Linked DNA regions of Rhinolophus ferrumequinum. The protein of the gene in region 1 purifies or fractionates together with the protein of each later gene. This does not show direct contact. Links are inferred from orthologs where the notes say so. Each region holds a gene or a part of one and is shown in the gene's direction. Other genes may lie near its edges. The genes, in order: CDKN1B, CCNB1, CCNB2 and CCND3.

The links.
Region 2: the proteins of CDKN1B (region 1) and CCNB1 purify together in Homo sapiens (affinity purification with mass spectrometry; 5 studies listed by BioGRID and IntAct, with this or other methods). This does not show direct contact. The link is inferred for Rhinolophus ferrumequinum from reciprocal best matches to the Homo sapiens genes CDKN1B and CCNB1.
Region 3: the proteins of CDKN1B (region 1) and CCNB2 purify together in Homo sapiens (affinity purification with mass spectrometry; 3 studies listed by BioGRID and IntAct, with this or other methods). This does not show direct contact. The link is inferred for Rhinolophus ferrumequinum from reciprocal best matches to the Homo sapiens genes CDKN1B and CCNB2.
Region 4: the proteins of CDKN1B (region 1) and CCND3 purify together in Homo sapiens (affinity purification with western blotting; 9 studies listed by BioGRID and IntAct, counting the BioPlex papers as one, with this or other methods). This does not show direct contact. The link is inferred for Rhinolophus ferrumequinum from reciprocal best matches to the Homo sapiens genes CDKN1B and CCND3.

The regions. Positions count from the first base shown.
Region 1 is NC_046293.1:27,455,941-27,463,926, forward strand, and holds the start of CDKN1B (cyclin-dependent kinase inhibitor 1B), read left to right. Parts: upstream 1-4,842; 5' UTR 4,843-5,394; coding exon 5,395-5,869; intron 5,870-6,399; coding exon 6,400-6,521; 3' UTR 6,522-6,529; intron 6,530-7,986. UniProt on the Homo sapiens protein: Important regulator of cell cycle progression. Inhibits the kinase activity of CDK2 bound to cyclin A, but has little inhibitory activity on CDK2 bound to SPDYA. Involved in G1 arrest. Potent inhibitor of cyclin E- and cyclin A-CDK2 complexes.
Region 2 is NC_046290.1:44,716,985-44,724,014, forward strand, and holds the start of CCNB1 (G2/mitotic-specific cyclin-B1), read left to right. Parts: upstream 1-4,012; 5' UTR 4,013-4,156; coding exon 4,157-4,177; intron 4,178-4,742; coding exon 4,743-4,913; intron 4,914-5,006; coding exon 5,007-5,159; intron 5,160-6,701; coding exon 6,702-6,884; intron 6,885-7,030. UniProt on the Homo sapiens protein: Essential for the control of the cell cycle at the G2/M (mitosis) transition.
Region 3 is NC_046289.1:50,579,365-50,587,172, reverse strand, and holds the start of CCNB2 (G2/mitotic-specific cyclin-B2), read left to right. Parts: upstream 1-4,772; 5' UTR 4,773-4,934; coding exon 4,935-4,958; intron 4,959-6,714; coding exon 6,715-6,843; intron 6,844-6,931; coding exon 6,932-7,045; intron 7,046-7,808. UniProt on the Homo sapiens protein: Essential for the control of the cell cycle at the G2/M (mitosis) transition.
Region 4 is NC_046286.1:11,637,915-11,645,936, reverse strand, and holds the start of CCND3 (G1/S-specific cyclin-D3), read left to right. Parts: upstream 1-4,939; 5' UTR 4,940-5,094; coding exon 5,095-5,292; intron 5,293-6,148; coding exon 6,149-6,364; intron 6,365-8,022. UniProt on the Homo sapiens protein: Regulatory component of the cyclin D3-CDK4 (DC) complex that phosphorylates and inhibits members of the retinoblastoma (RB) protein family including RB1 and regulates the cell-cycle during G(1)/S transition.

The DNA.
Region 1 (7,986 bases):
AAATTTAGTGTAGCTAGGCAGCTGTATGCTAGTTATATTTCTGAAGAAGACGAGATGGATTTTGATGGACAGCTAGCAGTCTCTGTTGCATCCTACCTCTCTAGTTAAAATACCAAAGCTTGGGTCCTTAAAGTCATCCTCCATTCCTCCCTCTCTCCCTGACACCCTTATCTGTTCTAACTACCTAAGAAACCCCACATTTATTCCTTTCCATCCTCCACAGCATTGCTTAAGGCTGTTGAATCTCTTGCTTGAGCAAATGCAATCAGCCTCCAAAATTACCTCCCTGTGTTAGCCCTGGAGAGGCTCATCACACCCACCCTTTACTCTGCTGTTAGGTGCCACTTCCAAACACAAAGGTCTGATTGTCCAAGACACCTTGGGCACCTTAACAGTTACCTCTCTACTCACTGTCAAGGCTGCGAGCACCACATACAAGGCATCTGCTTCTAAGCCTTTGTAGCTTAGGGGATCACACCAGACTGCCTCCTACTCTCTGTTCCAAACCATCTCATCCTGGGCTTGGCGCCCATACTTCTCTACCTGCTTGCCTCACCACCAGTACTCTGGCCAGCTTTCAGCTACTTTTGGATTAACACCATGATGGGATGTCTACCCAGCTTTTCATTTAGCTCTGTTCCTAGAGACTGTCTCTCAGGGCCCAGGCTTGCTCTTTGTTCAGGAGCTAAGTTTGCACAGTGATCATGTTATTCTTTTCACCAAAAGCAACATCAGTTCCCATTGCTTATGAATAAAACATTTTTTAATTGCATGCCATTTATGGCCTGCCCCTGTCTGATACCATCCCCAATGACCACGCCTATCAATAGATCCCTATAATCTTGACATTTTTCTCATTCTTCAAGATGTGACTCACATGTCCCCTCCCCCATACAGCCTTCCTCTTTCTCCCTCCTATGTACTCCATCTTTGTCCTGCATTCTTCCATGTATTGCTTTCTACCTCTAGTTTTTTGTGCACATGATGGTCTCCTTATGTCTTTGGGTGTACACGCCCTAAAGACAGGGATTGTAACTTAGTCATCCTTTCACTCCCCATGCTCCTGAGAATAAGGCGCTGGGGAAATACTTTACACATAGTAAGATCACATCATTCCACAGCTTAAAACCTCCTAATGCCCCAGTGGCTTCCCGTATCGCTCAGTCAGTGACAGAAACCCTCCCTAGGTCTGCATGATTGGATATTCCTACAACCTCTCTCCCCTTGCTCCTTGCTGCCTCTTGAGCACATCAGACAAGATCCCACCTCAGAGCCTTTGCACTTGCCGCTCCCTTTATTGGGACACTCTTTCCCCAGACACGGGCCTGGCTTGCTTTCTCAGTTCCTCAGGGCTTCTCTCCAATGCCACTTTCTCAATGGGGCCTTCCCAGACTATTCTCACATTGGGATCCTTGCAACATTCTCTTTCCCTCTCCCCTGCTTATTGTTTCTCCATATCACATATCACCTCCTTACATAATATATGCTTTCCTCATTTATCGTGTGTCTGTCTCCTCTTCCCCTCTACTGGAATGTAAGCTTCACCCTCGTTCAAATCTGTTTGTTTACTTCTGTATCCCCAGGATAAAGCCTGGCGTATCAAAGGCACTCAATAAATATTTGTTGAAAGAAAGTAAGATTAAGCAAATTAATAGAAGGTGTTCAATAAATATTTGTTACATTGAATGAAAAGCATCAGAAACAGATGACGTAAATTCCCAATTTCTAAAAATATGTCGGTTTAGGAGAAGAATGAAATTGAGTGAAAGCTGCCTCATTATAAACATCGTAGCGGAAGAATTAAAATTGTGTAGTTGTGGTGGGCGGGGCAACTGTCCATGTGTACAGTCGCAGAGTTGCTGGGGGCTGCTCAGCTATCCCCTGAAAGGACTGCAGCTGGGAGGCCAGCTCACCCCACTGTTTGCCCAACCACCCTATTTAGACACTGTGTACCACACAGGTGTTTTCTTTTTAAGTTATTTTGGTCTTTGCTTCTCTCCTCAGCTTGTGAAGGACACAGCAATCTTGGGTGGCTTATGTGACACTTCTCAGCTCTCAGTAGGAAACTACCTACTTAAAGTGAAAATGACAACAAAAATATCACCCAGGACTAAATTCTGGGTCTTGGGGAGCAAAGCCCATTTTAGAGCTGTACCGAATGGAACTTTCTGTCGTCTAACCTAGGCTCCGCCTTGTCACTGTTTATCCGAAATGTTTCTCCCCGCCCTACTCTTTTGCAGCCTCCTACTTCGCGCAGGAGGATGGCGCTCTGATCTCCACGTTCCTTCTTCCCGCAGGGACCCATAGTATTTTTTTCACGCTTCGCCACTACTACGGCAGACGCCTGCCTTCTCTTTATTTGCTGTGCAGATCTCCCGTGCCTTGACTGTAAACAAAACACTTTAGATCATAGCAAGGTCGATGTCAGCACAGGCTTTCTGCTGGCAGCCAGACGTCTTAAGGTGGCGTGACTGACTCGTTTACTTTTCAAGATTAACAAAGCAACAAAATGGTGCTGCTGCATATTAACTGAAGAAAGATTCAGTGTGTATGGGGGTAGAAGTATTACTTTTCCACTTTTATGTAGGCTATTAATTCCACGCATAAAATGAAACTGTGACAAGGTGTCATATTCTAGAATATCTCCACTCACATATATGTGGTAATTTGTGTATTAATGCAAGTGAATATGTGCTTACATATAATGTAGAATTCCTGTGTAGCCCAGCAACTAGTTAAAAATGTTGACAACAATGATCTAATTTCAGGGGTGGGGTATAAATTATGGTACTGAGGCCTACCCTAAGTGTCGAATCCCTCTCTCCCTCTTCTCCAATCCAATGTTAAGAGGGGCATTAAATGTAGAAAAATACAGAAGAGGAGACGGCCTACTTTGATCCCAGGTGAAATATTTTCTGTCCATCAGGTAGGAAGTCCTGACTTTGAAACGAGTTTTGGGCACTGTCTCCCTCGCTGCTCTCTTTAGTATCACCCCTGTCCTTTTGGAATCTGCAATTAGTGGATGGTGACACCAAAGGCCAGTGACAGCTGCATTTAAATATCAGTGACCACAGGCCACATCAAGGAAACATCTGCAGGCAGCCCAGGACACAAGAAAGAGCCATTGTGCATCAGTTGTAAGAGAGGAGGACCTACAGATTACAGCACAGGTGAATCCAGACAAAAACTTGAGCCAGTTGGGGCCATCAGAAAGAAACAAAACGAACCAGCCTAAGAGAGAAGACCTGTGGTCTAATCCTGGCTCTGCTACCGACTGGATATGTGGTCTCTGGATAGGAACGCTCCTCTCCGTCTCAGTTTCCTCAGCAGTAAAGAGATGGGTGAACTACAGGGTTCCGCAGGTCCCTCCCTGCTCTACCATTCTGTAGTGTAGGAGGTGAGGCAGGCACACAGAGTGGACAAACTGTGTAGTTAAGAAAACAAGTTAAAACTCAAACTCATCTGTAGCGTAGAAGCATAAGACAACATTGCTTCTGTGGACTATTAGAACTGAATGAGATTAGTTTCCAGTAAAATGTATTAACTTTGGCCCAAAGCAAGATCATATGTATTGGAGGGTGGGGTGGCGGTGAGGCGGTTAAAGACCCATTGAGATTTGTCTGGGGTCTGACAGCCCTGCCCACGCTGTTTTAACGTCTGCTACCCTGCTCAGGACCAGATTGATAGGTAAATTTCAGGTTGCTAAGGGGGAGCAGAACAATGCCTGAATAGTATCTGCCGTGAAGACATGGTTGTGGTGGTTTTATAAATCACCTCATAATCTGGACTTCCAGAGTATTTTCACCCTTCAACTACTTGTAGCCCTCTAAAAGCATTCACTTGGCGTCTGAATGTTGTTCTGTGTGGGAGGGAGCAGTGAATCTGGTAGGAAAAAAAGGTGGAGGAAGGAGCTGTAGCATTTGGCGGCCGGACGAAGGTAGAGGAAACTGCTATAATCAGGGAAAGAACTGAAAAATAGAACGAGGAGACGAGTTCCCACACGCAGTCCATGTCAATTGCCTTCACTGCTTGAGAAGCAAGAACTGGGCCAGGGGTGTAACTTCGCTTTTGGAAACTAAATGTGTCTGAGACATCATCAAAGTTTATTAGGGACTTGGGAGACCAGTCGAGTTTTTGATCTTGAAATCTTATTTTTATTGAGGGAGAGCGTGGGTTCAGAATATACAGTATTATAAAGGCTGAGCCTACTCCAGGCTAATTTATAGAAAGGCGTTAGCCCTGGCTTCTTCCCTAAGCCCCTGTGCATCCCCTAGAATAGCAGAGATCTCAAGGTTCAGGGTGAGCTAACCACCGCTCACCCGGGGCTCTCAGCCCCTCAGCCAATACTTCTCCGCCTCCTCCGCAGCGCGAGAAGTTTGTGCCGCGGGTGAGAAACCATCTGCGGGCAGAGCTCCCACCGTCAGCCTCCGTCCCCCAGCTGCCCGCAGTGCGGAGAAAACTAGATCGCCACCGAGGCACACATCGAGGGGCCAGCAACCTTCGAGATCGGCTCTAGCCCGTTCGTTTCCCTGGCGAGGAACGCGAGGGAGGTCGAGGCTTCGGGACCGCCGCGCGCCCGCCAGCGCCGCGCGGGGACCAGAACCCAAGGCCCCGCCACCCAGGCCCCTCCCCAGCTTCCCAGCCGTTTGGCTAGCTTGTTTGTCTTATTTTTAATTTCTCCGAGGCCAGCTAGAGCAGGTTTGTTGGCAGCAGTATACCTCCAGCAATCACGCGACCAGCCAATCTCCGGGCGGCGCTGTCGGAGTCGGCGCGCTCGGGGAGGCGGGGAGGCGGCGGGACCGCGCCGGGGCCACCTTAAGGCCGCGCTCGCCAGCCTCGGCGGGGCGGCTCCCGGCGCCGCGACCAATGGATCTCCTCCTCTGTTTAAATAGACTTGCGGTGTCAATCATTTTCTTCTTCGTCAGCCTCCCTTCCACCGCCATATTGGGCAACTAAGAAAAGGGGGCTCGTCTTTTCAGGGTGTTTTTCTTCCCCTCCCCTCTCCCCACTCTCTCGCCGCCCCGAGACTCTGACGCCGGCAAGGTTTGGAGAGCCGCTCGGTTCGCGGGACCGCGGGCTTGCACCAGCCTGGACTTGGACTGGCTTTGCCACCCCCGCCTCTTGCCTCTCCCCTCCCCTCCCCGCCCTCTCGCTCGCCCGTACACTTGATCCGCGGAGACTTTCGGCTGCCTAGTCCGGGCTTCCTCTCACCCCCTCCCCAGACCCAGCGCGCTCCTGACGCTCGCCAGTTACTCGTTGGGGTTTGTTTTTGTTGGCTCCTAGGGCAGTCGCAGGACTTATAAGAGGGGTTCGGGCTGGGTCGGGGCGTTTTGTTTTGTTCGGTTTTGTTTTCCGAGAGGGCGCGAGAGGCGGTCGTAAAGACCCAGGAGGAAGATGTCAAACGTGCGAGTGTCTAACGGGAGCCCTAGCCTGGAGCGGATGGACGCCAGACAGGCGGAGTACCCCAAACCGTCCGCCTGCAGAAACCTCTTCGGCCCGGTGAATCACGAAGAGTTAACCCGGGACTTGGAGAAGCACTGCCGAGACATGGAAGAGGCAAGCCAGCGAAAGTGGAATTTTGATTTTCAGAATCACAAGCCCCTGCCGGGCAGATACGAATGGCAGGAGGTGGAAAAGGGCAGCGTGCCCGAGTTCTACTCTAGACCCCCGCGGCCACCCAAAGACGCCTGCAAGGTGCCAGCGCAGGAGAGTCAGGATGTCAGCGGGAACCGCCAGGCGGTGTCTTTAATTGGGTCTCAGGCAAACTCAGAGGACACACATTTGGTAGACCAAAAGACTGATGCATCGGACGGCCAGACGGGCTTAGCCGAGCCGTGCACTGGGATAAGGAAGCGACCTGCAAATGACGGTAATGACCCTCTCAAAACCATAAAATGTCTGTCTGGGGCCCCGCCTTGCCTACTTGGGGGTCTTAACCTCTCAGTTTTCAGCGTGTTCTGATGTAGCTTTTTGGGAGTCCGCTTTCGGAATCTTAGGTTGTGAGTGCTATCTGACTGCTTGCCTGTCTATGATTTGTAAGTCAGAGGCCTGAGATTGTATTATCTGATAATTTCACTAAGCGAAAACATCGCTGTCCCCTCCCCCTTCCCCCTCCCCTCCGTGTACACGGCAGTAGGTTTGGACAACGTCGGGATGTTTATCAGCGGCCTCCCTCTTCGCTATGGAGAGAGAGAGCGCTTTGGGGCGTAGCAAACACTGTTATGTGAAAACAACCTCATTTTGTGCCCTTAAAGGCCACTCAGAGTGATGGGTGCAGGATTGTGGGTGGAGATGGTGGGTTTTTCATCCCCTGACTACTGGGCCAACTTTTGTTAGCCATTGTTTTTTTGATAAAGATTACTTGTGTGTGTTCTTTTGAAAATTCCCTCTTGTCCTTAGATGCCTCTCCTCAAAACAAAAGAGCCAACAGAACAGAAGAAAATGTTTCAGATGCTTCCCCGAACGCGGGCTCCGTGGAGCAGACGCCCAAGAAGCCGGGCCTCAGAAGACGTCAAACGTAAACCGCTCGGTGGGTTGATTACTAAGAGCAAATAACTGACACCCGAATTGGGCTGCAGGAACTCGTGGCCTTTCAAACCCCAAGATACCCATCTTAGTTGCTGGCAGATGAGAGCTGTGGGTTGTTGTTTTGTTTATATTTTGTGAAGTCGAGAAAGTAGGAGTGGGGAAGGCTAGGAGTCACCGTGGGGATACTGTATTTCTAAACAGTTTCCACGTCCTGAGATCATTTTCCCCTGAAACATGAAAGGACTAGAGCAAGTGTTCCAGGCAAGTACTTGTAATCAGGGTCCTGTGGATAGGACGGTCAGTTCCTGTGAGCCCCACCAAAACATGTTGGGAACAATAGGGTCTTTCCCCATCTGAACAAGAGCTGGGCTGTGGTCTCAGTCCCACTTCATGAGAATTCATTTCCCAGAGGTTTAAGGGGAGTAACACATTTTTGGGCCATACATGGAAAAAATGGCAACTGAATGATTACATTTAAATTTTGAGGGCATTGTTAGGTACACATGGCTCATATTTGGTTAATCAAATAGTTAGAAATGTGAAAAGAGAGTTATGTTGTGTTCTTTTATCTTTATCATTTTCATAAAAGGTCATTTTCCCTGTGTTCTGATAAGTTCTGGGGACAGAGAAGTAACCTTTGTATTTAAAAAAAAGCCAAAATAGAAAGTTTAAAAATACTAAGGTTCCTACAGAATTTCTGATAACACTAAAGTTGCAAAACAGAAGTTAAATTAACTCTGCCAAAGTAAGCAATCCAGGAACACGTCAGCATGTGTATGCTAATCTTACTATAACAGGATGATTTGGATATTTGTAGGGGAAATGAATAGTAGATATCAGGGCTGGCAGGGTAGGTCTGCCCCGCACAAGGGAAGTGGAGATTTTTCCATCTACTAAAATCTGATCAACACGAATAGCTAATTTGAATAATTCAGCCGCCAACTTTATGTGGATTGGCTATCCATAAAGATCAAAGTACATATTTTTTTTTCAAAGTACGTGTATTAATAGTCTGTAAACATCTTATAGACAGAGAATGGGACCTCTTTTTCTTTTTCCCCCCAAAACACACTCATAGCCTAGCATATAAAGAGATCTTAATACATATTGATAGTATCTTTTCAAATCCTCGTTTATAAACATCTAAAAAGAAATGAAAGAACACAGGGATTAAGGTGGGATTCAAATTTGTTGTGTTTTTAAATCACATATGCAACTTCTTTACATACATCTGATATTTTCAGAGCTTATACAAAATGGCATTATAGAACTTCTGTATTATAGCTATATATGTAGTGGGAAAATTGAATAAAAAATTGTTCTGACGCAACCTTACCATCTGCAGCCATTGTTGGTTTGAAACTTGTGGCCTGGCTCATCAGATGAGCCAGAGTGAATCAGACCTACTGGATTTTGACCTGGCCCCATTCTGATTTAGAAAGGCATTTGTTAGTAAAT
Region 2 (7,030 bases), on another chromosome or scaffold:
ATAACATACAATAAAATACGAAGATCTTAAGTGCTCAGTGCAGTGAAGTGGTGATGATACGGAGTAACTGAAACTCAACATAGTGCTAGTGGGAGTGTGAAATGATGCAGCCATTTTGGAGAACTGTTTGGCAATTTCTTTTAAAGTTAAACATATATCCACCCTGTGACCCAGCAGTTCCACTCCCAAAGGTAATGGAAAAGTGTGTCCACAAAAAGACCTGTAGAAGAATGTATGTATTCATGATAGCCAAAAACCAGAAATAACCCAAATATCCATCAGGAGAATCGATAAATTGTGGTGTATTCATAATGGAATTTCACTAAACTACTCAGCAGTTTAAAAAAATTAGTTACAAACAATACAGGTGAATCTCAAAAACAAGTTCAGTGAAACATGGCAGATACATGCTGTATGTTTCCATGTATACGAAGTCCAAGAACAGAGAAGACTAATCTATAGTGATAGAGCACAGAAAGTGGTTTGTATTAATTTTCTATTGCTGTCATAACAAATAACCCAAACTTAGTGGTTGAATACAAACTTCTCTTACAGTTCTACAGAAGTCCAGTATGGGTCTCACTGGGCTATAATCAAAGTTGCTGCAGGGCTGCATTTTTTTCTGGAGGCTCTAGGGGAGAATCCATTTCCTTGCTCATTCAAGTTGGTTGAATTCAGTGTTTGTAGGACTTTGTAGGACTGAGGTCTCAGTTTCTTTGCTAGTCTTCTCAGCTTCTAGTGGCCACTTGCATTCCTTGGCTTGTGACTCCCTCTATCTTCAAAGCCAACAGTGGGTCATGTGCTTCCCCTGCTCATCTCTCTCCTGCCCCTTCTTCCACTGTTGCATCTTTCTCTGACCACCTCTTCTGCCTTCCTCTTCTTTTAAGTGGTGACACTGGACCCACTCAGGTAATCCAAGATAATTCCCTATCTCAAGGTCTTCCAAGTCCCTTTTACCATGTAACAGTCATCTTCACAAGTCTGGGCATTAGGGCAATGACATCTTTGGGGGGTTGTTATTCTGCCTACTACATAGTTGCTTGGGAAGACAGAGTTTCTTGAAAAGGAGTGGAGACGTCTTTTTTAATAAGTCTAGTACCCATATGATACCATACATAGTTATCAAAATATTGACTACATTCCCTATGCTGTACTTTGCATCCCCATGACTTTTTATAACTGGCAATTTGTACAGATCATTCCTATCATTGAGCTTTCACAGGCTATTTTCTCTATGTGGAATGCTTTTTTCATTTAAGCCTCAGCTTAAACATCACTTTCTCGACTGTCCCTGACCACCTCCAGAGTAGCTACCAAGTCACACTGTTTGCAACACTTTCCTTTCATTCTCTGCCTACCACTTAGTACTAGCTGATTTTTTTCACTTTATTTAGTTATTTACTTGTTTCATCTCTCTTCTACTGGAATATAAGCTTTTATGAAAGCAGGGATCTTATCCATTTTATTCAGAGTTGTATTCCTAGCACCCAGATCAGTGACTGGTGTGTATTGTTGACACTATTAACTTGGCCAGGAGAGAGAACACTGAGTAGTTCACTGAGGAGAAAAGTCAGAAGGTTGTAAGTGTTATAAAGAAAGGAGGTGATCCATGGTACTTATGCTAATTAAGCATAACTACCATGTTTCCCCAAAAGTAAGACCTAACCGGAAAATAAGCCCTAGCATGATTTTTCAGTATGATATCCCCTGAACATAAGCCCTAATGCATCTTTTGGAGCAAAAATTAATATAAGATCTGGTCTTATTTTTGGGGAAACATGGTAGCATTCTTAATAAAAATTAGTTGTACATAGTTGGCAAGATTTCTCAAGCTTCACACTATTGAACTACTGACATTTTGTGCTGGGTAATTCTTTGTGACTGTGTTTGGGGAGTGCGGGCTGTCTTGTGCATTGTATGATGTCTGGCAGCTTCTATGATCTTCACCCACTAGATGCCACTAGCACCCTCCCAGTTGTAACAATCAAAAATGCCTCCAGACAGTGCCAAATATGCCCCGTAGGATAAAATGTCCTCCAATTGAGAACTACTGGGTTAAAAGAATTTCCATTAGGCAATGGTCAGGAAGGGGTCGTCAATTAAGTCTGGTAAAGGTCTGGCATCCTAGGGTCATTCAAAGTTTGTTTTTTACCAACTCATGGCAATGAAACAAGAGTTTCAACAGTTCCTAACCAAGTGCTGCTGTGAGGGAATATGAAACGTAGGGAGAAATTTGATGGTCTCAAAGTATCTCCACACAGACAACATATTAGTTGCAATTTTTAAAAAAGTAAACGTACAATGAAGAAATCAGGCAACATCTTAACCAAGTGACCAAAATTAATCTCATTTATGACGGACAAACATCACGTGTCTGCAGTTGATCCCCTAAGACCATGATGTTACCTGTGTCAATTTTCGTAGAGTATGAATGAATTTATTGAATGTTTTAAAAAATTATTAAATCAATTATTTTCTTAAACAAGCTTTCCATAACTGTGAATATTAATATTGACAGATTTATGTACTGTACTTGGTTGCAAGGGGAGACCTGTTTGGCCTTTAAATTCAAATGGTAAGTAGCCATAGAAAGTGAACCAATATGTACCTGAAAAATTTTAGTCTGCATTACTGAAATAGATGTTAAAGCAAACTTAATATGTGATAACAGCAGAGTACTAGAAGAAAAAAAGCATGAGATGATTATGTAAAGTGCTTAATATAGTGCCTGGCACATAGCAGCTCCTACATAAATAATTACTAGAAAACTATAAAAACACTTTAGAAGATACTTAAAAATGTGTAAGTTAGATTATAAAGATTTTGACAGTCATATACACCTGTGCAACAACCTCAATTTAAATCACAAGAAAATACCAAGTACAAAAATAAGAAAGTTCTATTTTTAAAAAAGTGGCGGGGGTACTGTATTCTTCAAAAACATCAATATTATAAAAGATAAAGAAAAGCTGTAGGAACTGCTCTAAATTAAAGGAGGCTAAAAAGACACGATAACTAAATATAACATCTGACCCTAGACTGGATCATGTACTAGCAGAGAAAAAAATGCTATAAAAGATATTATTAGGTCAACTGACAAAATGGAATATAAACCAGGTTGAATAAAACAATAAAGTACATTTTGAAGTTATTAACTGTATGTGGTTAGGTAAGAGAATATTCTTTTTCTTAGGAAATACGGCAGAACTGAAGGATAAAAGTTATGATATATATAAACACCCTCAAGTGTTTCAGGAAAAATAATTTTATACATAGTTTATACATATATAAAGTAAATCATGAAGCAAATGGAGTAAAATGTTAAGGATAGTTGAATCCTTATCACATTTTTGTCTGCAAGTTTTCTAAGTTTGAAATTATTCTCAAATAAAAAATTAAAATAAAAACATTGGCTTGGGGAAATAACTTGAAGTAATCTGGTAGATTAAGAAACTGACGATATTCTTATCAATTAGGTTGTAGAAACATCATGAATCAAAAAAAAAGAAATTACCTACATTTAGTCCCCACGTTACTAACTTGTGATCCTGGGAAAATCACCTAAAGCTTCTCTGGGCCTCGGTTCCTCCAGAGTGCTGTTGGAAAAGATCAAATAAAACATTATATATCAAAGCCTTTCAGCTACACACCGCTGCAGACGAAGACAGTGTGTAACAATAAGTAGGACTAGAGCCACAACTGCTTACGCTTCTCCAACTGCGGCTGCTCCACCGTTACTTCTCTCAGGGCACAAGGCCATCCCCCTCGACTACATCCGGCAGCGCACAGTTCGCCACACCTCGCCGGTCCAGGTGGCAGCCGCAAATGCCCGAGAGCGCAGGCGCGAAGCCAAACCAAGTGAGGGCGTGGCCGCAACCTCTCTCTGGCCCCACCCCTCTCGTACGTCTCCGCGGGATCGCCCTAGAAACGCGTTCTTGGGGAAACCGACAGCCGCCAATAGGAAGGAAGCGAGTGCCACGAACAGGCCAATAAGGAGGGAGCGGTGCGGGGTTTAAATCTGAGGCCGAGCCCTGCATCTCCCGGCGTGCTGCGGTGGAACGGTTTTTGATCTGTGTTGATTTCAGATCCCCGGCTCGTCCGGGGCTCCCATTCTCCTCTTCTCCCCACTGAGCTGCTGCCTGGTGAAGAGGAAGCCATGGCGTTCCGGGTCACCAGGGTGAGCTGCTGCGGACAGTGAACAAACGCAGCCTTTCTCGCTGTGTATCCTCTCCCTATCTCGCTGGCCGGAGCCATCCAGCCCCGCGGGACCAGGGCAGAGATTTGGGGAGCATAGGGTTGTCGGTAGGCACCTGGCATGGTGGGGTAGGTGGCCAAGAGATCTGGGTTGGCCTGTTTGGGGGGAAATGGAGGGTCAACAGGAAATCTTTCCTAAAACGTGGAGGGCTCTTTTGTGGGCTCCCACCACCTGCGTAAGGTCCTTTCTGGAGAGAAAGAAGGTGTCTGCAGTTGGAGGCCTTTTTTCTTTTCAAATGTAAATTAAGGGTATTTTAGTGTCGGTCGGGACTAAACGTGCTATCCCACCGTAGGCGAGCGAAGAGGTTCTAGGAGGAAACTGACTTTTCACAGTCTTAGCGTAGACCCTGGAACCGGGTTTCCCCTCGTAACTCATTTACAGCCGACTTCCCTCCCGAGAGCCTCTCTTTTGCCTCATCTTAATTAATCCCCTGTGACTTACTGCAACCTGGCTGGGCTAGCTCTCAAAGAGGTCTTGCTTCTTTCAGAACACGAAAATTAATGCTGAAAATAAGGCGAAGATCAGTATGGCAGGCGCAAAGCGCGTGCCTGTGGCCACTGCTGCAGCCTCCAAGCCCGGGCTGAGGCCAAGAATGGCGCTTGGAGACATCGGTAACAAAGTCAGTGAACAGCCACAGTCCAAATTGCCTTTGAAAAAGGTAACTATCCTGATCCAACTTATCTGTAAAAGTCCACCATCCAACTGTGACCTTGGATGGAGCAACATTCCATTCTCTCCCATTCATCCACAGGAAGCAAAAACTTTAGCTGCTGGAAAAGTTGTTGCTAAAAAACTACCAAAACCTCTGGAAAAGGGACTCGAGCCCATGCCTGTGCTGGAGCCGGCGCAAGAGCCAGAACCTGAGCCCGTTAAAGAAGAAAAACTTTCGCCTGAGCCTATTTTGGTAAACTTATTTTAGAGTCTTGATTGTTTCTTTTCCCTCATTTTACTTGAATGCATGAAATAGCATTTGAATAAATAATAGTAACATAGAGTGTTCTGCTATGTACTTTAAATGCATTAACTCATATAATGTTGTATTTTCTTAGCTGGTATCTTGCTTTTTAGATAATGGCTTAGAAAAGTATTACGTATTTCCTGGAGTCATATCTAATCGGTGGTACATACTGGATTCGAACCCAGACTTGTCTGGCTTCGGAGCCTATGCTTTTAATCTCGTGTATGGTATTGAGTAGTAGTTGCCTTGATCGAAGATTTTGCTGTTTTTGGTACAAGTCATCTCTGACCAGAATTTATTGACTGAAACACAGATTGTTCTCTTGAATCTTTTTACTCACTAATATGACCACTGAATAATTAGTAAGCCTGTAACATTGTAATATGTAAAGGTGTAAAGCAGAAAGAAAATGTAGCACCTCAGAGCAGGTAAGATAATGAACAGCTTCAGAAACCAAGAACTTTCTATTAAATACCAGGTAAATTTTTCTACTGTGAAGGAAAAACAGGCCCTTTAGAAGAGGCTGGTTTGATGAAATTGGAATGAACTGCCTTATGAAGCTGATTTTTAAAACTTAATAAAACCATTTGGGAAAATCTGTAAAAGTCATTCAGCCTGGCTCCTTATATCTAAGGGTAAAAGATTTGAGGCCATTGTTTTAGTACTGACCTTCTGGACATAGCACATGAAACCTGTGCAATGCAAAGTCTTTAAATGACCATACCAAACTACCTGAGGTTTCCTTGCAAGTCCCATAATGATTCTTGTCTTTGCTTTCACACTAGTTAAAAATGTCTTTCCCACTTTCTTCATTTAGCTAATAACCTTTTCATCCTTCAAAACAGCTCAAGTATCAACTCCTGAAACTTTGCCTAACTTCTCCTAACCCTTGTTCCTAGAATCAATCTCCTTACCTCATTTACTTCTCGTCTAAAATCAAAGCCCCTTGAGGATATCAAAAAAATCAGTGCCTAGGACAGAGCTTGACTTGAAAGTGCTCAATAAATGAAAAATGGGGTAACTAGAGCTTGAAGGAAATGGTTAATGAGGTCAGTTAATAATGAGTAGTTAGGACAGAACTTGTGTTCTCCTGAACAGTGAGAATCGGTCCATGTTTTGAAATGAAAACCAAAGACTGACTTGCCATTTGTTTGAATTAACTTCACATGACACTGATCAACAGATTTATTACTTACCAGTTTCCTTTGGAGGAAAGTCCAAAATGTGAATTTATTTGCTTCTCTGTTTTACCTGTTAGTGTTTAGGTTCTGCTGACTTCAAATTGGCTCAGTCAAGTTGGCATTTCAATTTTCATACTAATCACTTTCTAAAGAGAAACTGAATAAATCTGAAAATACTTTTCCTTTCAGGGAATGAATTATGACTATTCAACAAATGGTATCTTGAGTTGGTACCAATGATCTGACTTTTATTCCCAGATTGTATGCTCTTCTTTGCTATTATTTCAGAAGGTCTCTTTATTTTAAGGTTGATACTCCCTCTCCAAGCCCAATGGAAACATCTGGCTGTGCCCCTGCCGAAGAGTATCTGTGTCAGGCTTTCTCTGATGTACTTCTTGCAGTGAATGATGTAGACGCAGAAGATGGAGCCGATCCCAACCTTTGCAGTGAATATGTGAAAGACATCTATACTTATCTGAGACAACTTGAGGTCAGTATTATTAGGTTGGTATAAAAGCAATTGCAGTTTAAAAGGTTAAAAATATTTGCAAAAACCGCAATTACTTTTGCACCAAACTAATAGAATCTGTTTTTTTCTAAACTGCATCTAGCTTTATTAATTTATTAATTTTATTA
Region 3 (7,808 bases), on another chromosome or scaffold:
GTTACAATCACAATGACAGCAGGGGCTGCAGTCATCAGTTATCTGCAGCCTTTACTGGGTCTGGTCTGGATGAGCTGTTTCCAAGATGGCTCACTCATGTGGCTGATAGGCCTTGGTTCCTTATGGGCTACTTTCTTGTTATGGGGGCCTCTCCATAGGGCTGCTCAAATGTCTTCCTGACAGGGTTGTGCTGCTTCCCCAGAGCAAATGACCCCAGAGAGCGAGGAGGAAACCACAGTGCCATTTTTCACCTAGTTTCAAAATTGACACTCTCTTCTGCTACATTCTATTCATTAGAAATAAGAGTCACTAAAATACAGCCTATACTCAAGACGCGTTGATTAGATTTCACCATTTGAAGGAAAGTATAGCAAGAATTTGTGTACATACAGTCATGGGTTGCTTAATAGGAATATGTTCTGAGAAATGCATCGTTAGTTGATTTTGTCATTGTGCGAACGTCAAATAGAGTGCACTTACACACACCTAGGTGGTACAGCCTGCTACACGCCTAGGCTGTATGGTACAGTCTATTGCTCCTTAGCCACAAACCTGTACAGCATGTTACTGTACTGAATGCTGTAGACAATTGTAACAATGGTAAGTATTTGTGTATCTACACATAGAAAATGTACAGTAAAAATAGAGCACAAGAGAGAAAAAATGGTCCACCTGTAAAGGGCACTTACATGAATGGAGCCTGCAGGACTGGAAGCTGCTCTGGGTGAGTCAGTGAGTGGGGAGTGAGCGTGAAGGCCGAGGACATGACTGTCCACTACTGGAGACTTTATAAACACGGTACACTTAAGCTACACTAAATGTCTAAGAAAACATTTTTCAATGACAAATTTAACATTAGCTTACTGTAACTTTTTTACTTTCTCAACTTTGTAATTTTTTTAAACTTTTTGAGTTGTAACACTTAGCTTAAAACACACATTATACAGTTGTACAAAAATATTTTATACGCTTATAACCTTTTTTCTGTTTAAAAACAATTTTTTTTTACTTTTAAAACTTTTTTATTAAAAACCGAGACAAACACACGTTAGCCTAGGCCTAAACAGGAGCATCAATAGCACTGTCTTGCATCTCCACATCTTGTTCCCCCTGGAAGGTTCTCAGGAGCAGTGACATACACGGAGCTGTCAGCTCCTATGATACCAGTGCCGCCTTCTGGAACACCTCCTAAAGGACCTGCCTCCGATTCTTCTGAGGAGCTGTCATTCTTTTCAGAAACACGTCCACTTCATTAATGAAAACTTTTCAGTCCATGTTTTCAAACTTTTTTAAGGAGCTTGTTGAGGTCTGCAAAAGCTGCTAGATCCTTCACTGAATTTTCTTGGGGTTTTTTTCTGTTCTGCAGTTTCCTTTTCTCTTGCCTCTTCTTCACCTGTGCGTTCCTGTTCCAGTTCCAACAACTCCTCATTTGTCAATTCCTCAGGAACCACCTCTAGGAGCTCCTCAGTGTCATCCTCTGCCACACCCAGGTTCAAGTTGTTTGCATCTCATCCGTAGCCTTGATTTTTTGCAACTTTTGTGCTATGACATGATGGCTAACATCACTAGGCAATAAAAATTTTTCAGCTCCATTGTAATATTATGGGACCACTGCTGGATATGCAGTCTCTCGTTGACCAAAACATCGTTAAGCAACACATGACTATTTTAAAAACACAATTAGTAACTCTCTTATCCCCTATGTCAAGACCCAATCTCTAGGGCCGGGCCGGTGGCTCAGGCGGTTAGAGCTCCATGCTCCTAACTCCAAAGGCTGCCGGTTCGATTCCTACATGGGCCAGTGGGCTCTCAACCACAAGGTTGCCAGTTCAACTCCTCAAGTCCCGCAAGGGATGGTGGGCTCCGCCCCCTGCAACTAAGATTGAACATGGCACCTTGAGCTGAGCTGCTGAACTTCCAGATGGCTCAGTTGGTTGGAGCGCGTCCTCTCAACCACAAGATTGCCGGTTCGACTCTGGCAAGGGATGGTGGGCTGCGCCCCCTGCAACTAGCAACGGCAACTGGACCTGGAGCTGACCTGCGCCCTCCACAACTAAGACTGAAAGGACAAAAACTTGACTTGGAAAAAAAATCCTGGAAGTACACACTGTTCCCCAATCCCCCTTCCCCAATAAAAAAAATCTTAAAAAAAAAAAAAAAAAAGACCCAGTCTCCAGATATCTGGACTTCGGTCGCCAAAAATTCTATTAAACTGCCTTCAGTGCCCCCCAGGGCTCTCGATTACCTTTGATCCATGGTTCAACACCAAATAAACTGCAACCAGCTTGTGATTCAGAAGGAGTCCTCATAGCAAAGACCGCAAGACTACCCCAAACTGGGAGATTCAGATGTCTGAAAAGAAGAGTTCCCATTTGGCATTCCAGGACCTAAACATACTATATGTAGGCATCCTGTGGCGCTGGAAGATACTAAGCAAGAGCTACCTTGAAGCCCAATAGCTCCTGCCAAACCAACCACTTACCTTGTCTCCCATCATGCCGGTCCAGTACTGGTGGTCCGTGTTTTTGCTTGGGGTGCTTCTGCCTGCAACCCATATTCACTGAAGTTCACATACACACCTTTTTGAAGCAGTACCTGAAAATAAATTGATCGTGTAGAATTTTACCATACTGTAAAGAGCCATTGGCCTTCAAGAAATTTATCCTTGGTTAATTTTCTATTTGAGTTCCTTCAATGACTGTTTCAAACTTTTCCTACTCTTTCTGCCACATGTAAATAGACTGGACAATGGCAAATATAATGGAAAGAGCCCACAGGCTTTGGAATCAGACCCGAGTACAAATCTTCGCTCTAAAATGCTTAAGTGCTATTATTGCAGCCAAGACATTTAATTGCTCTGAGCCTTAGTTTCTTCAAATTGAGATAATATATGACAGATGTTAACTAGACTTATTGTGGTGATCATTTCACAATATATACAAACACCAAAAACTAATATAATGTTATATGTCAATTATACCTCAATTTAAAAATGACAAAAAAATAGGATACTACCTGTTTTATAAGGATTGTTATGAGGTTTCAACAAGAAAGTTTATGTAAACTAGTATACAGGAAGAGTGATCAATGTTGTCTAAGGCAGGAAGGGACAGGAAGTAAAAAACAGGACTACAATGCATTAAACGAGGTTGGATCAAAAAGTTTATTTGTAAGTTTCTAGGTTAGTTGCAGTGAGGGATACAAAAGAAATATCACTTCCATTTTAATGAAAATACATGTCTAATGTGGATTAAATTATTTATTTTGACCATGTCAAGTCAGTCAATAAGAGCACTTTACCATTCATAGCATTTCTGTTTACAAAGCCCTGTGAGTCTGTGAGGATTGTTACTTTTATAGTTGTGGTTTTTGATAACACCACATTATAACAATAAAGCAAAAATATAATTTTACTCACAACCCCAGTGCACTAAACATTTACTTTTCCTTCCCCAGACTATCTTTCTTTCTTTCTTTTCTTAAGATTTGTATTGGGAATATTGGGGAACAGTGTATTTTTCCAGGACTCATCAGCCCCAAGTCAAGTCATTGTCCTTCAATCTATTTCTGGAGGGCATAGCTCACTGGCCCACTGGGAATTTAACCAGCAACCTTGTTAAGAGCACGTGCTCTAACCAAAAGAGCCATCTGGTGGCCTCCCAAGACTTTTCCTTATAGGAGGATAGATACACTAACATCTTCCCATGCTGCATAGTAGCTGCAATTATTCCTGTTTTATAGAAGAGGAAACAAGTTTAGAAATATCAGATGCATGGCCAAGGGCAAAGGCAAGGGAAGGAATTTAATCCAGCTCACTTAACTTCATTTAAGGCTCATTGATACCCCAGTAATAAAGAGGTAAACCATATTTTAAAGAGTAGAATAGGAGTGACAGGAAAGCTTGCTCAGATCTTAGACGGAGCCTGTTATCAGGAGTCATTCCACTACCTTTACTAAGGGCATTGGACTTTTCCTTTCCTTAGCTTTTTCCTTTCCCTTTTCCTGTTCCTCTCACTTTTTCCTTCCTCTTTTTCCTGTCTTGATCTGATCCTCCTACCCTTCGGTCCAAGCCTGGATCAGACCTTCTTTTTAATTTTAAAGTATTCTGTATGTCATAGGATCATCCATTCGTGGACAATTTATTGAGCACCGACCATAACACAAACCATGTGCCGGGAATACTATAGAGAGCTCACAAGAATCACAAATAATGCAAACTCGCATTTTGCAAAAGCAAATCGCAAAATGCAAATCGCATTTTGTTTCGTTTGCCTCTCTTGGGAATCTTAACTTTTGCGTAAACGTGACACTTTTTACTCCTTACCCGTTTGTATGTCAACCACCTACAGTGCATCCTTGAGCCACCAGAGGCGCCTGTGCAAGGACCACGGCCAACCCAACCTAAACTCCAATTCGCAATTTCCGGAAGAGGAATAAAGGTCAGAAATGGCATTTCCAGGGTGTTCCCTAGAACCAACTTCTGCCCACCCGGCACAAACGTAGAGAAACATCCGTAGGTGAAGCCTTGTCAAAATTCAGAGGTGTCCTACGTTTGCTGTCCCAATGAAACATTTCTTTTTTGTTTATCTTGGAAGCCGAGATGTTTTTAAAAAGGCAGCAGGCGGGGCGGGGGGAGGGTGCGGTGTGTGGGGGTTAGTTGTTATGACAACCAAATGGGTCTGTAGAGCTCAGTCAATCAGCATGCGGGACTGCCTCCTGCTTAACCAATGGGAAGAGCACGCCGTACGTAGGGCCGCCCAATGGGGGCGCGAGCGGCGCGGTATTTGAATCCTGGAGCCAGGCGACTACACGAAGATTCCTAGAGCTGCGGGCTCGGAGTGTGGAACTAACGGCGCCGCGGAAGCTTGTGCCTACCCTCCCCGGTCCGCGTCCAACCCTGGGCCTGGCTGGCACTATTGCCTGCCGCGTCCCTCATGGCGCTGCTCCGACGCCCGACGGTGAGTGGGCTCGGCGACAAGAGCCAGGGGCTTGGGCGGCGCAGACCGCTCGGCCGTCTCTTGCTTCTCTCTGTAGAGCTCTTTCGTCTCAACCGACGCCGCTTCCCCATTCTGCCAGCTGCCCGCTTCCCCCGCGGACCGGGCCCTGCGGCCTGTCCTCTCTGGCCAGCCTCCCCTCCCCGGCCTGGGTTCCTCTCCGGATCCTTGCCCCGGCTGGTGCCTGCCCTGGGAATGGGGAAAGTTCACGAAAGCGCCTCGGAGGTGGTGGTACCTGTTAAACGAGCCTCCGGAGCACTGGTCCTAGCACTCAGCAAGCGATCCGGAGTGCTCTTTGTTGTTAGAGATCTAACTACAGGGTTCTTGGGATTTCCTTCCTCTGTTTTCCTTGCAGGCTCAGGGCTCCGTGGTGGGGATGGGGAGGAGAAGGACAGGAAGAAATTCTGTAGTCAGTAAAGTGGTCTCAATGTTCGATCAAGCTTAAATTCGTTTATTTCATCTTTGCAAAAAACAAAAGTGTTAATGGTGTTTTGGTTATTTTTTTTTCTCCTGTGGGCCTGAATTGTACGTGGATCTACTTTTCCTTTGCTGAAAAATAGAGAAGGTCGTGACACACCTGAGTTCCATCCTCCTGGCTATAAGGCTAGTTAAAAGCTGCCAATTTTCTTTTCCAAATGGATTTAAACTTAGTCACATTGCCAGGCTTCCACCCATAGCATTCAACTTTCAAACATTTTTAAAAGTTGGCAATTACTGCTGGAAAAATTGAACAGTATGACTTTTGTGAATCCTAATAAGTTGAATACATTCAGTTTTTAATTTCTACCCCTTTGTGGATCAAAGTAGAACTGATGAATAATTTTTGTCTAATCTGTCCTACATGGTTCTTTCATAGTCAAATTCCATCTATCCAGGAAGGCTTGAGTTTTCCGTTGTCCGGTCTGTCCTGGTAGGTCCATTCAAACCCTCTGTTGGGAGATTCTTTAGGAATAGGACTCCCAATTTCTGGGGAATGGGACGTGCTGTTTTTTCTTGTGACATGTTTATCACATCTATGATAAAATTGACTTTTTTGTATGAATTGCTTTAGCTAGTAAGTTTTGTCTCAGCACATGCTGTCTAAAGCAGGTTAGGGTCAACTAACAACTTATTTGATACAATTCCAACTTTCTTGGGATTTGAGAGTAAAACTATTTTACCCATGAAAACTTTTTTTTCTAAGTTTCCTTAGTATAAGAGAGTCTATGCTATGGCAACTGCAGTTTTGAAAGCTATATCTAAAAGATCATGTCTATAGGAGCACTTTTTTCTAGAATGGCATAAGAATCAAATCTAGTTTAGGTTTTAAACATCTGGTTTTTAAACAGCCAGACAGACGTATTATAGTTTTTTTAATAATTTGTTTTAATTGCACTTGTTACTAATTTCTGTAAAAGAAGGTTTTTAAATACTGTAGATACCTTTAATATACAGGGATCTTTAACAAGTGACATGGGTGCTCTATGAGAAATCACTTATCTGTAAAACTCTTAGTGGATTTTTTTGTTTTTATAGATAAGGTGGGATGGTGATTTGCCTAATTTAGAGTGATGTTATCAAACACAAATAGTATTTCTAGACTTCCTAAAATGTACTTTTTCCCTTCCTCAATTAGATCTCAGCATATTCACCTTTCCTAAAGCAATTCTGAATTTGAGTATCTGGTAGTAGGAAAGTATTTTAAATTGTCTCAACTTTTCTTTAATTTTTTATTTTTTAGGTGTCCAGCGAGTTGGAGAATATTGACACAGGAGTTAATTCTAAAGCTAAGAGCCATGTGACACTCCGGCGGGCAGTTTTAGAAGAAATTGGAAATCGAGTTACAATCAGACCCACACAAGTAGCTAAGGTAAGGTGACAACCATTAGGACCGTACGTGTGCTCAATGGGGAAAATACTGAATGTCTTGCCCTATTCACTTTTCTTTTTCCTTGTAGAAAGCTCAGAACATCAAAGTACCAGTCCAGCCCACCAAAACAACAAATGTCAACAAACAACTGAAACCTACTGCTTCTGTGAAACCAGTCCAGGTGAAAATGTTGGCTCCAAAGGTACGGAGGTCTAAATTTAAAAAACCAACTTAATGAAGCAGCCTGTTTTTGGCCAGACTGCACGTGCCTTTATCAACAATGCAACTTTTGAAGAACATTCAGAGCTAGAGCTCTACTTTGAAACAACACTGTAGAAATGAATATCTATACCTTTTTAGTGATGGTATCATAATTTAATATGAACTTGAATAACAAAATTAATTACTTTAATACCCAGGTAAATTTAGTCATGTCAGAGTGAAATATGGTAGGTTTTATTAAAATAATCCACCACGAGAATGAACTTGCCCATGAAAGCTGTGGAAGCTCAAGGTTCTGAAACCCATACTCATGTAGGACCAAGGTAATGCCAACATTGTGGGGTGATAACTTGTAGTTTCTGTGACTGGTTAGCTCTCTTGGAGTTAGAATGCCAACAGACCCATTGGCCTGCTCCCCTTCCATCATGTTCAAGTTCATGCATGCTCTCATTCATAGATTACATACATTCGTGGAATTACTATGAAACGAGCACTGTTGTAGGTACTGAGAATACAATAACTACTTCACTCTTTCCAGCTCAAAGATGTGTGTGTGTGTGTGTGTGTATGCGGGGGTTGCCAAAAAAGATGTATACAAGTGGACACTTTGGTCAACGTTGCTCAAGCAGTAGTTCACCGTAATCAGAAGTGTCTGGATGCTGATGGCAACCACTTTGAGCACCTCTTGTAATTGCAGAAGTCAAACGTGACTTGTATTCATCTTTTGTTATCAGTATATATTA
Region 4 (8,022 bases), on another chromosome or scaffold:
GGGAGAGAGCAGGTCTAGAACCAGCCAAGACACATGAAGGGCATGTACAGTGGGATCTGCAGGAGTTTGGAGGGTTGTTCCTGCAGCTGGATTGTTCTAGGAAGGCTTCCTGGAGGAGATCAGACCTGAGCTGGGCCTTGAAGGATAAATAAACTGAACAGAGAAGATAGATGGGTTTACCAGTGATGGAAGCAGGGAACTGAGGAGATGGGGAGGGCAGAAGAGGCCCTGGCATGTTTTTGGAGGTCTGCAGAGAAGAAGATTCTGCTACTCTTTCTTCTTCCATAGCATTGTCTAATTGGAGTTTTCCTTGCTATCTAATTTACAGCCCGCTAGTTGAGGACTAGGTTTCTCTAGACTTGGAGGGCCATGGTTATTTGAGACTAAATGAACATTTGGTGCCTTTATTAAGCACCTTTATCCCTGATATGGGGTAAAGACCAGCTGAGGTTCCTTAGACAAAAGTGGCAGGATTTTTGAGGTCCAGTTCTCAGTGAAAAATGACCAAAATAAGACATCATCTAAGATGCAAGAACCAGGCCAAGGGATGCTTATAGCAGGGAAATGAGTGAAATAAAGAACAGATTGTTAAATCAGTTCCATGGGATATAGTGGATGATAATTGGGGAAAAATAAGGCTAGAGCCCCACTTAATATGACACACTGAATAAATGTGAAGTGTGTCACACACTGAAGGCAACGCATTAAAAAGGAAAACCTTTATTGTATGTATTCTTGACAATGCATAATTTTGGGGGTCTCCTCATAGACTTGAAGAAAGAAAAGCCCTGAAGCAGAGCCCAGAAATCTGCTTTTAAAATATAAGTATTTCTTACATTTTCTTCTAGTAATTGTATAATTTTACAGTGGGGAAGGCATGGTTCAAAGGAAGAAATCATTAGAGAAAATAATGCTACATAAAAATAAAAACTTTCTATTTGTTAAAAAAATAATTCTACCATGAACCAAAAATGAAAGGCAAATAGTGGGGCAGTTGGTTAGCTCAGATGGTTAGAGCACGGTGCTCTTAACAACAAGGTTGCCGGTTCAATCCCCACATGGGCCACTGTGAGCTGCGCCCTCCACAACTAGATTGAAACAACTACGTGACTTGGTGCTGATGGGTCCTGGAAAAACACACTTAAATAAATAAAAGTTTAAAAACAAAAAAGAAAGGCAAATAGTGAACTAAAAAAAAAAAATGTATAAAATATATGACAAAGAAAAAATATGAAAAAGGATATTCTTAAAATGTAATCGAGCACTTAGAAATCAATAAGAAAAACAAACATTTGTGTAAAAGAATGGGCAAAGAGTATGAAATAGGTAATTAATTTACATAAGAAATGTAAATGTCTAATAATGTGTCAAAATATCATTACTAGTAAACTACTTTTCATCTCTCCAGTTTGCTTTCTCCATAAAGAAAAGTAGGTATATCTATACAATGGAATATTATTCGGCCATAAAAAAGGACATTTTTACATTTGCAACAACATGGATGAAACTTGAGGGCATTATACTAAATGAAATAATTCAGACAGAGGAAGACAGATACTGTATGATCTCACTTATATGTGGAATCTAAAAATCCTTACTGAGAGAAACAGAACATTTTGGTGGTTGTCAGAGGTGGGGGGTAAGGGGAGGGTGAAATAGGTGAAGGTGGTTAAAAGATACAATCTTTATAAGATAAATAAGTTATAACATAAATAAGTTATAAGATAAATAAGGTCTGGGAATGTAATGTACAACATGGTGACGATAGTTAATGGTTCTGTATTGCATATTTGAAAGTTGCTAAAAGAGTAGATCTTAAAAATTCTCATCACAACAAAAAAATGTAATTATGTAATAGATATTAACTGAACTTATTGTAATTATTTTGCAATATGTATATATATTAAGTCATTATGTTGTGCATCCTGAGCTAATTCAGTTTATGTGTATGTCAATTACACCTCAATAAAACTGGGGAAAAAATAAAAATATATAATGATGGTTTACCCTCTCATCAAAGATAAACAACCTTCTAACCTGAACAGTCCTACTCAATAATTCTGAAAATAAAGGAACACCTTCCATTAGGAAAGATCTGGTTTCTGGTTATGTACTCATTTCAAAAGCTACATTTTTAGTCCTCTGCACCCTAAAAACCTCTTAAACTTCAACATCTTTGTCTCCCCATAACTTCACATCTGTTCTTTAACATTTTGAAATATGTTTTTCTATTTATTGAAAGAGTGCAATGGTATGATTATTTAACTAAAGAAACTTCATATTCATATTTCGGACCATAGGAAGGAGAAAAGGACTTTAAGATTAAATGAGGTACATGGTACACATTAATTCTGGCACAATAAGAGCTCTTGAATTAAAAAAGATACACACACACATACACACACAGAGGGTGCCAAAAAAAATGTATACACATTTTAAGAAAGGAAAAAAACTGTATTAAAATTGTAATAATATATACTGATAACAAAAGATTAATGCAAGTCATATGTATACATATTTTTGGCATCCCTGGTATATTATAACTAATAAACTACTTTTCATCTTCCCAGTTGGCAGAGGGTTTTTAAAAATAGATATCTAATGTTTATTCATTAGATTGGTTTAGTCTTTCAATAGCAAAATTTAGTAATAACTACATCAAAAGCCTTAGAATGAAACTCACAGATACAGAGAACAAATTGATGGTGGCCAGATGGGAGCAGGGTTGGAGGGATGGGTTAAAAAGGTAAAAGAGATTAAGAAGTACAAATTGTCAGTTATAAAAATAGTCACATGGATGTAAAATACAGCATAAGGAATATAGTCAATAGTATTGTAATCACTATGTATGGTGCCGGATGGGTACTAGACTTATCAGGGTGATCACTTTGTAACTATAAATGTCTATAATCACTATGTTGTACACCTGAAACTAATATAACACTGCATGCCAACTACAACTGAAAAATAAATTTTAAAAATCTAAAAGAAGCCTTAGTATGTTTCATAACTCCAGACTGAGAAATTCCACTTGTAGAAATAATTCACTTCTAGAAATAATCATGAGTGCATACAAAAATATTACCACAAAAATATTTCACAGTATTGTTTCTAATAGGGAAGAACTAGAAATAACTTAAATTTCCAACAACACATATTTGGTAATATGTATATGATATATTCACCCAATGGCATCCTATGTTGCCATTAAAAATAATGTAGAAAAATGACATGGAAAAGTGTTACAGTAAATACTGTTTTAGTGAGAAAAATGCTTACAAAAACAGTTTATGATGATCTCATTTTAAAATATGTGTTTATTCATAGAACAATTTTAGAAAAATAAATATTGACATTTTAAAGGATTATCTCTGGATGGTGAAATTGCAAGTAATTATTATTTTTCTTTTTGTGGCTTTTATTTTTTAAAATAATTTAAAATTTTTTTCAATTACAGTTAACATACATTATATTAGTTTCAGGTGTACAATATACCAACTAGATATTTATATAATTTATAAAGTGATCACCCAGATAAATCTGGTACTCATCTGACACCATACATAATTATTACATGTTGACTATATTTCTTATGCTGTACTTTACATCTCCATGACTATTTTTATAACTATCAATTTGTACTTCTTAATCCCTTAACCCCCTCCCATCTGGCAGCCATCAAAATGTTCTCTGTATTTGAGTCAGTTTCTGTTTTTTTATCTGTGTTTTCTTAGTTGTCTACAATACAAATAAATATTTCCATGATATTACAACTACAATAAAATTTGTTATATAAAAAGAACAATTAATTGACAAACTGTTTAGCATAGACCTTGCCTCTGCTATACAATATTATTTCTTCAGTAACTCCCTTGCTTAGTGTCCTTTCCCTCAGAAGGACCTCTTGATGAGAGGCAGGAATTCCCAAGGCCTCCTCCCATTTGGGAGCATTACTGGAGGCCTGTGGTCGGCCTCGGGGTCACGTGGAATCCAGCTTTGGGGAAACTACAAAGTAACCCAAAGTTTGGGAGGTAGGAGAAATGGCAATTGGAAGATTTTATGGAATCTGAGCAAGAAACTCCTTCACAGAGGATCCAGTTTCTCCGCCCCCTTTTTCCTCAAACTGAAGCTTAAGGCCGACTTCAGGGCTTGTCCAAGGCCACAAGGCAGACTTAATGACAAGATGAGGCCTGGAATCTATGGCCTCTCCACCCTGTTGTGTTTCTGTAATGTGCTGATTTTGATCAGGCCTTCTCATACTTTAATGTGCACAGGAGTCACAGGGGGTCTTGTTGAAATGTAGATTTTGATCCCGCAGGTCAGGCGTGGGCCGGAGAGTCTGCATTTCTAACCGGGTCTTAGGCGATGCAGAGGGTGTTGGCTTTGAGATCACAGTGATAATGTGTAGCAATGGGGTAGAGCACAGATTCTTGAGCCAGACTAGCTCTGCCACAGACTGTTAGTGTGCTTCAGTTTCCTTATCTGCAAAATAAGTATAATACCTAACTCATTGAGTTTTTGTTTGGATTTAATAAGTTATTGCGCATTAAGTGCTCAGAACAGTGTTCACTAAGAACTAGTTATTTTATCAGTATTTATATTCCCCAGAGCAAGCAGCTGGTGAAGTAGGGTTTGACGAATGAATGAATAACCTTTGGAGAAAAGTTCTTTCCTGGGCAACTAATGTCAGAGAAACAAAATGGGAAGGCTCGATGGTGCGGGAGGGGACCACCTCCAAGAAAGTTCCCTCCACCGGGTGGTCAGGAGGGCTCCGGGAGCCCGGAAGCCTTCAGGCGGGCGCCCCGCCGACCAATGCGGCAGCCAGGGAGGAGGGGGGCGCCAGCCAGCCCTTTCCGTCTGGGGCGCCGGCGGCCCCGCCCCTTGGAACGTTGTGACGTTCGAGCATTCCGCGGTTGCTACATCGTCTCGAAGGGGCGGGGCGCCTGTCAGGGAAGCTGCAAGCGCGCCGACGCGGGCGGGTCGGGGCTCCACTGCGCAGTGCCAGCGCCAGCACCAGACCCGCGCTCTCCGGCCCGCCGCCTCGGCTCTGGCTCGCGAGCCCGCACTCCAGTCCTGCCCGTGCGCTGCCCAAGTATGGAGCTGCTATGCTGCGAGGGCACCCGGCACGCTCCCCGGGCCGGGCCCGACCCACGGCTGTTGGGGGACCAGCGTGTCCTGCAGAGCCTGCTCCGCTTGGAGGAGCGCTACGTGCCCCGCGCCTCCTACTTCCAGTGCGTGCAGAAGGAGATCAAGCCGCACATGCGGAAGATGCTGGCGTACTGGATGCTGGAGGTACCGCCCGGACGGGTCTCCCCTCCCCCGCCGTCCCTGCGTCCTCGGCTCCGGACATCCCGGGGCCGCCCTGTTGGGACATCCTGGTCTCAACAACAATCAGCAAGATGCTTCGGTGGCCCAGAGCCCCGGGCCTGGCCTTTCACTCGGGCACCCTAGCCGGCTACCAACGTGGTGTCCCTTTCCCTTCCCTAACCCCGACTCCGCCTGCCAGTGGTTTGGCACCCTAACTAACCCTCTTTTCGGGTCGGGAAAGCGGGACAGGGGCCACCTTCTCCCTTCTGGCTTCTCTAGAGTCTCTTGCTTCCCCCCCGCCCCCCGCCCTGTCTTCTTAGGAGAGCGCGCGCCTGGGAAACCCTGGACTCGGCCGCCGCAGAGCGGGTTCCTGTGTCTGTCGCGGGGTTCTGGCGGGGAAGGCGGTGGGGGTGGCGCGCGCGCTGTTCCGGCGGTCTGGGAAATGAAAAGTGCGGGAGGCAGCGGCAGGAGTCTCCTCCCTTCCTTTTGGGTGTGTGCAGTGGGTGGTGGTAATAGTTAGGTCCCAGCTCTCTGGCTACCGTGGGTGACTCTTCCGCACCCTTCCATGGGGGAGGGGAGTCTCAGTGTGGAATCCTTAAGTAAGGGAGCCTCTGGCGGACCCCTTCCCCCGGGAAGGGGAAGGAGGCAACGCAGAGGAAGTGGGGCCGTCACCTTGGGGAAGGCGCATCCCCCTCCGCATTAGTCCTTGTCACTGTAAGCACATTTACTCCTTCATGCATTTTTGTTCCCGTCCCACTTCCTTCAGCGCCCCCTTTCACTTTTAGTGCTGCTGCGTTTCCCACGCCCCTGCCCCAGAAGTGACTGTGCGTCCTCTCCCCAGGTGTGTGAGGAGCAGCGCTGTGAGGAGGAAGTCTTCCCCCTGGCCATGAACTACCTGGATCGCTACCTGTCCTGTGTCCCCACCCACAAGGCACAGTTGCAACTCCTGGGTGCGGTCTGCATGCTGCTGGCCTCCAAGCTACGCGAGACTACGCCCCTAACCATCGAAAAATTGTGCATCTACACCGACCATGCTGTCTCTCCCCGCCAGCTGCGGGTGCGTGCATAACCCACCCCCAACACATACCACCTCTCCTCACTTACCGGCAAAGGAAAGCTAAGACCTCAGAGGCTTTCTGCCCCATGGGGAGGGCGCGTGGACCGAAGAGGCTATGTATTAGGCAAACATGGGGCAGTGCGTGTGATGGTTAGGGTAGCCCCAACCCAGGCTTAAGCTGCCAGTATGAATTAACTCCCCTTCTCCTGACCTCCAGGGGGTGCCACTGCTTCCTGGTCTTTCCCCCAGATAGCAACAAGTCAAACTGCATGTCTGCACTCACTAGTACTTTGCCTCTGGGTTTACACAACCACCATGAGTTATTTATTGGCAGCAGAAAGACATGCCTGCACTCCCCCACTGGAGTGGGGGAGTGGAATGTGCTTCAGTGGGGGAGGGGGGCTGCCTTGGGTGAGTCTTTATCCCCATGTGGACTTTGTGATTGAAAAGCCTCCCAGAGCCGATTAAAGCCCGGCCCTGATTGCTCTAAGGAAGGGCCAAGGAGTTTCATCCCACCTTCTTTCCTTCCTTTTATATCCCAGAAGACACAGCTCCTTCCTAATCCTCATTCTGAGCAACTTGAGCAGCTGCTTCAGGCCTGGTGGAATCATCTCTCCCTTTCCCCCTTAGCCAAAGGCCAGAGCTGAGGGACGGACTGGGAGCTGAGCCGCAGCTGCTTCCGATGTGATAATGATGCCCCCTCCCCTGGCCCGCCCACTCTGACCAAGGTCTTTCATAACCCTGTGGAGAGCTGCTGTCACTCCTGTGGTTTGGGAAGTGGCTTCCTGGGCCTCTTGCTGGGAACTTGGGCTGGGCTCTTCCGAGGCGGCAGGAGAGTCACCGGTTCTTTTCCCAAAGCCTGGAGAGGAGGTGGGGGCGCTGCTGGGATCTAGGTTATTTAGGGCATGTGGGTCGTCTCCCGGGGGGTCTGGGGGAGAGGCTGGGGGAGCTGGCACCTTCCTCAACCTTGCTCTGTGCGGCCAAGTCTTCTCCTGACCCTGAGAGGAGTCTGGGCCCCATTTCCCGGGGAGGAGGGCAGCATGCAGGCTGCTGTGATTGGCTGGCCAGGAAGCCAGGGTACTGGGGCCCCTGACTGCTGCTTGTTGAGGAACAGGATTCCTCTTCCTGCCAAGTAGCTCTCAGAGATGGGAGTAGGAGGCCGGAGATGGGAATCCGGGAGGCCCCACGGCTCTTTGTGATGAATCTGGTAGTTTTTGGCAAGTCTGAAGGTGGAACTGGTTTCCAGGGCCAGCAAGCACGATGTTTTTGGAGGGGTTTGGGCTGGAAGGTAGAAGGGGACTTCCTTTTTGTGAAAAGATTGGGATGGTGTGTGTGTCTTTGTGTGTGTGGTGTTTTTTCAGAACAGGCAAAAAGCACTCTTCCCCCCACTCTTGCCTGAGCTGGGGGTGGAGTGTGCAGATGGCTTCCTAGAAGGTCAGAGTTGGAAGGGACCTCAGAGAACTCCAGTCAGTCCAAGTCCTTGTGCAGCAGAGAAGATTGAGGCCCAGAGGAGGGAAGTGTCCAGCCTCAGCATTGCACTGAAGTAGATGAGGAGAATCTGGGTCTTCTGGCTAGCCCAGGTGGACTTAAAGGCCGGGGATATGGTGGAAGTAGCTAATAGCTCCCGGGGGTATGCTCTCTTCCAGCCTAGGGCCGAG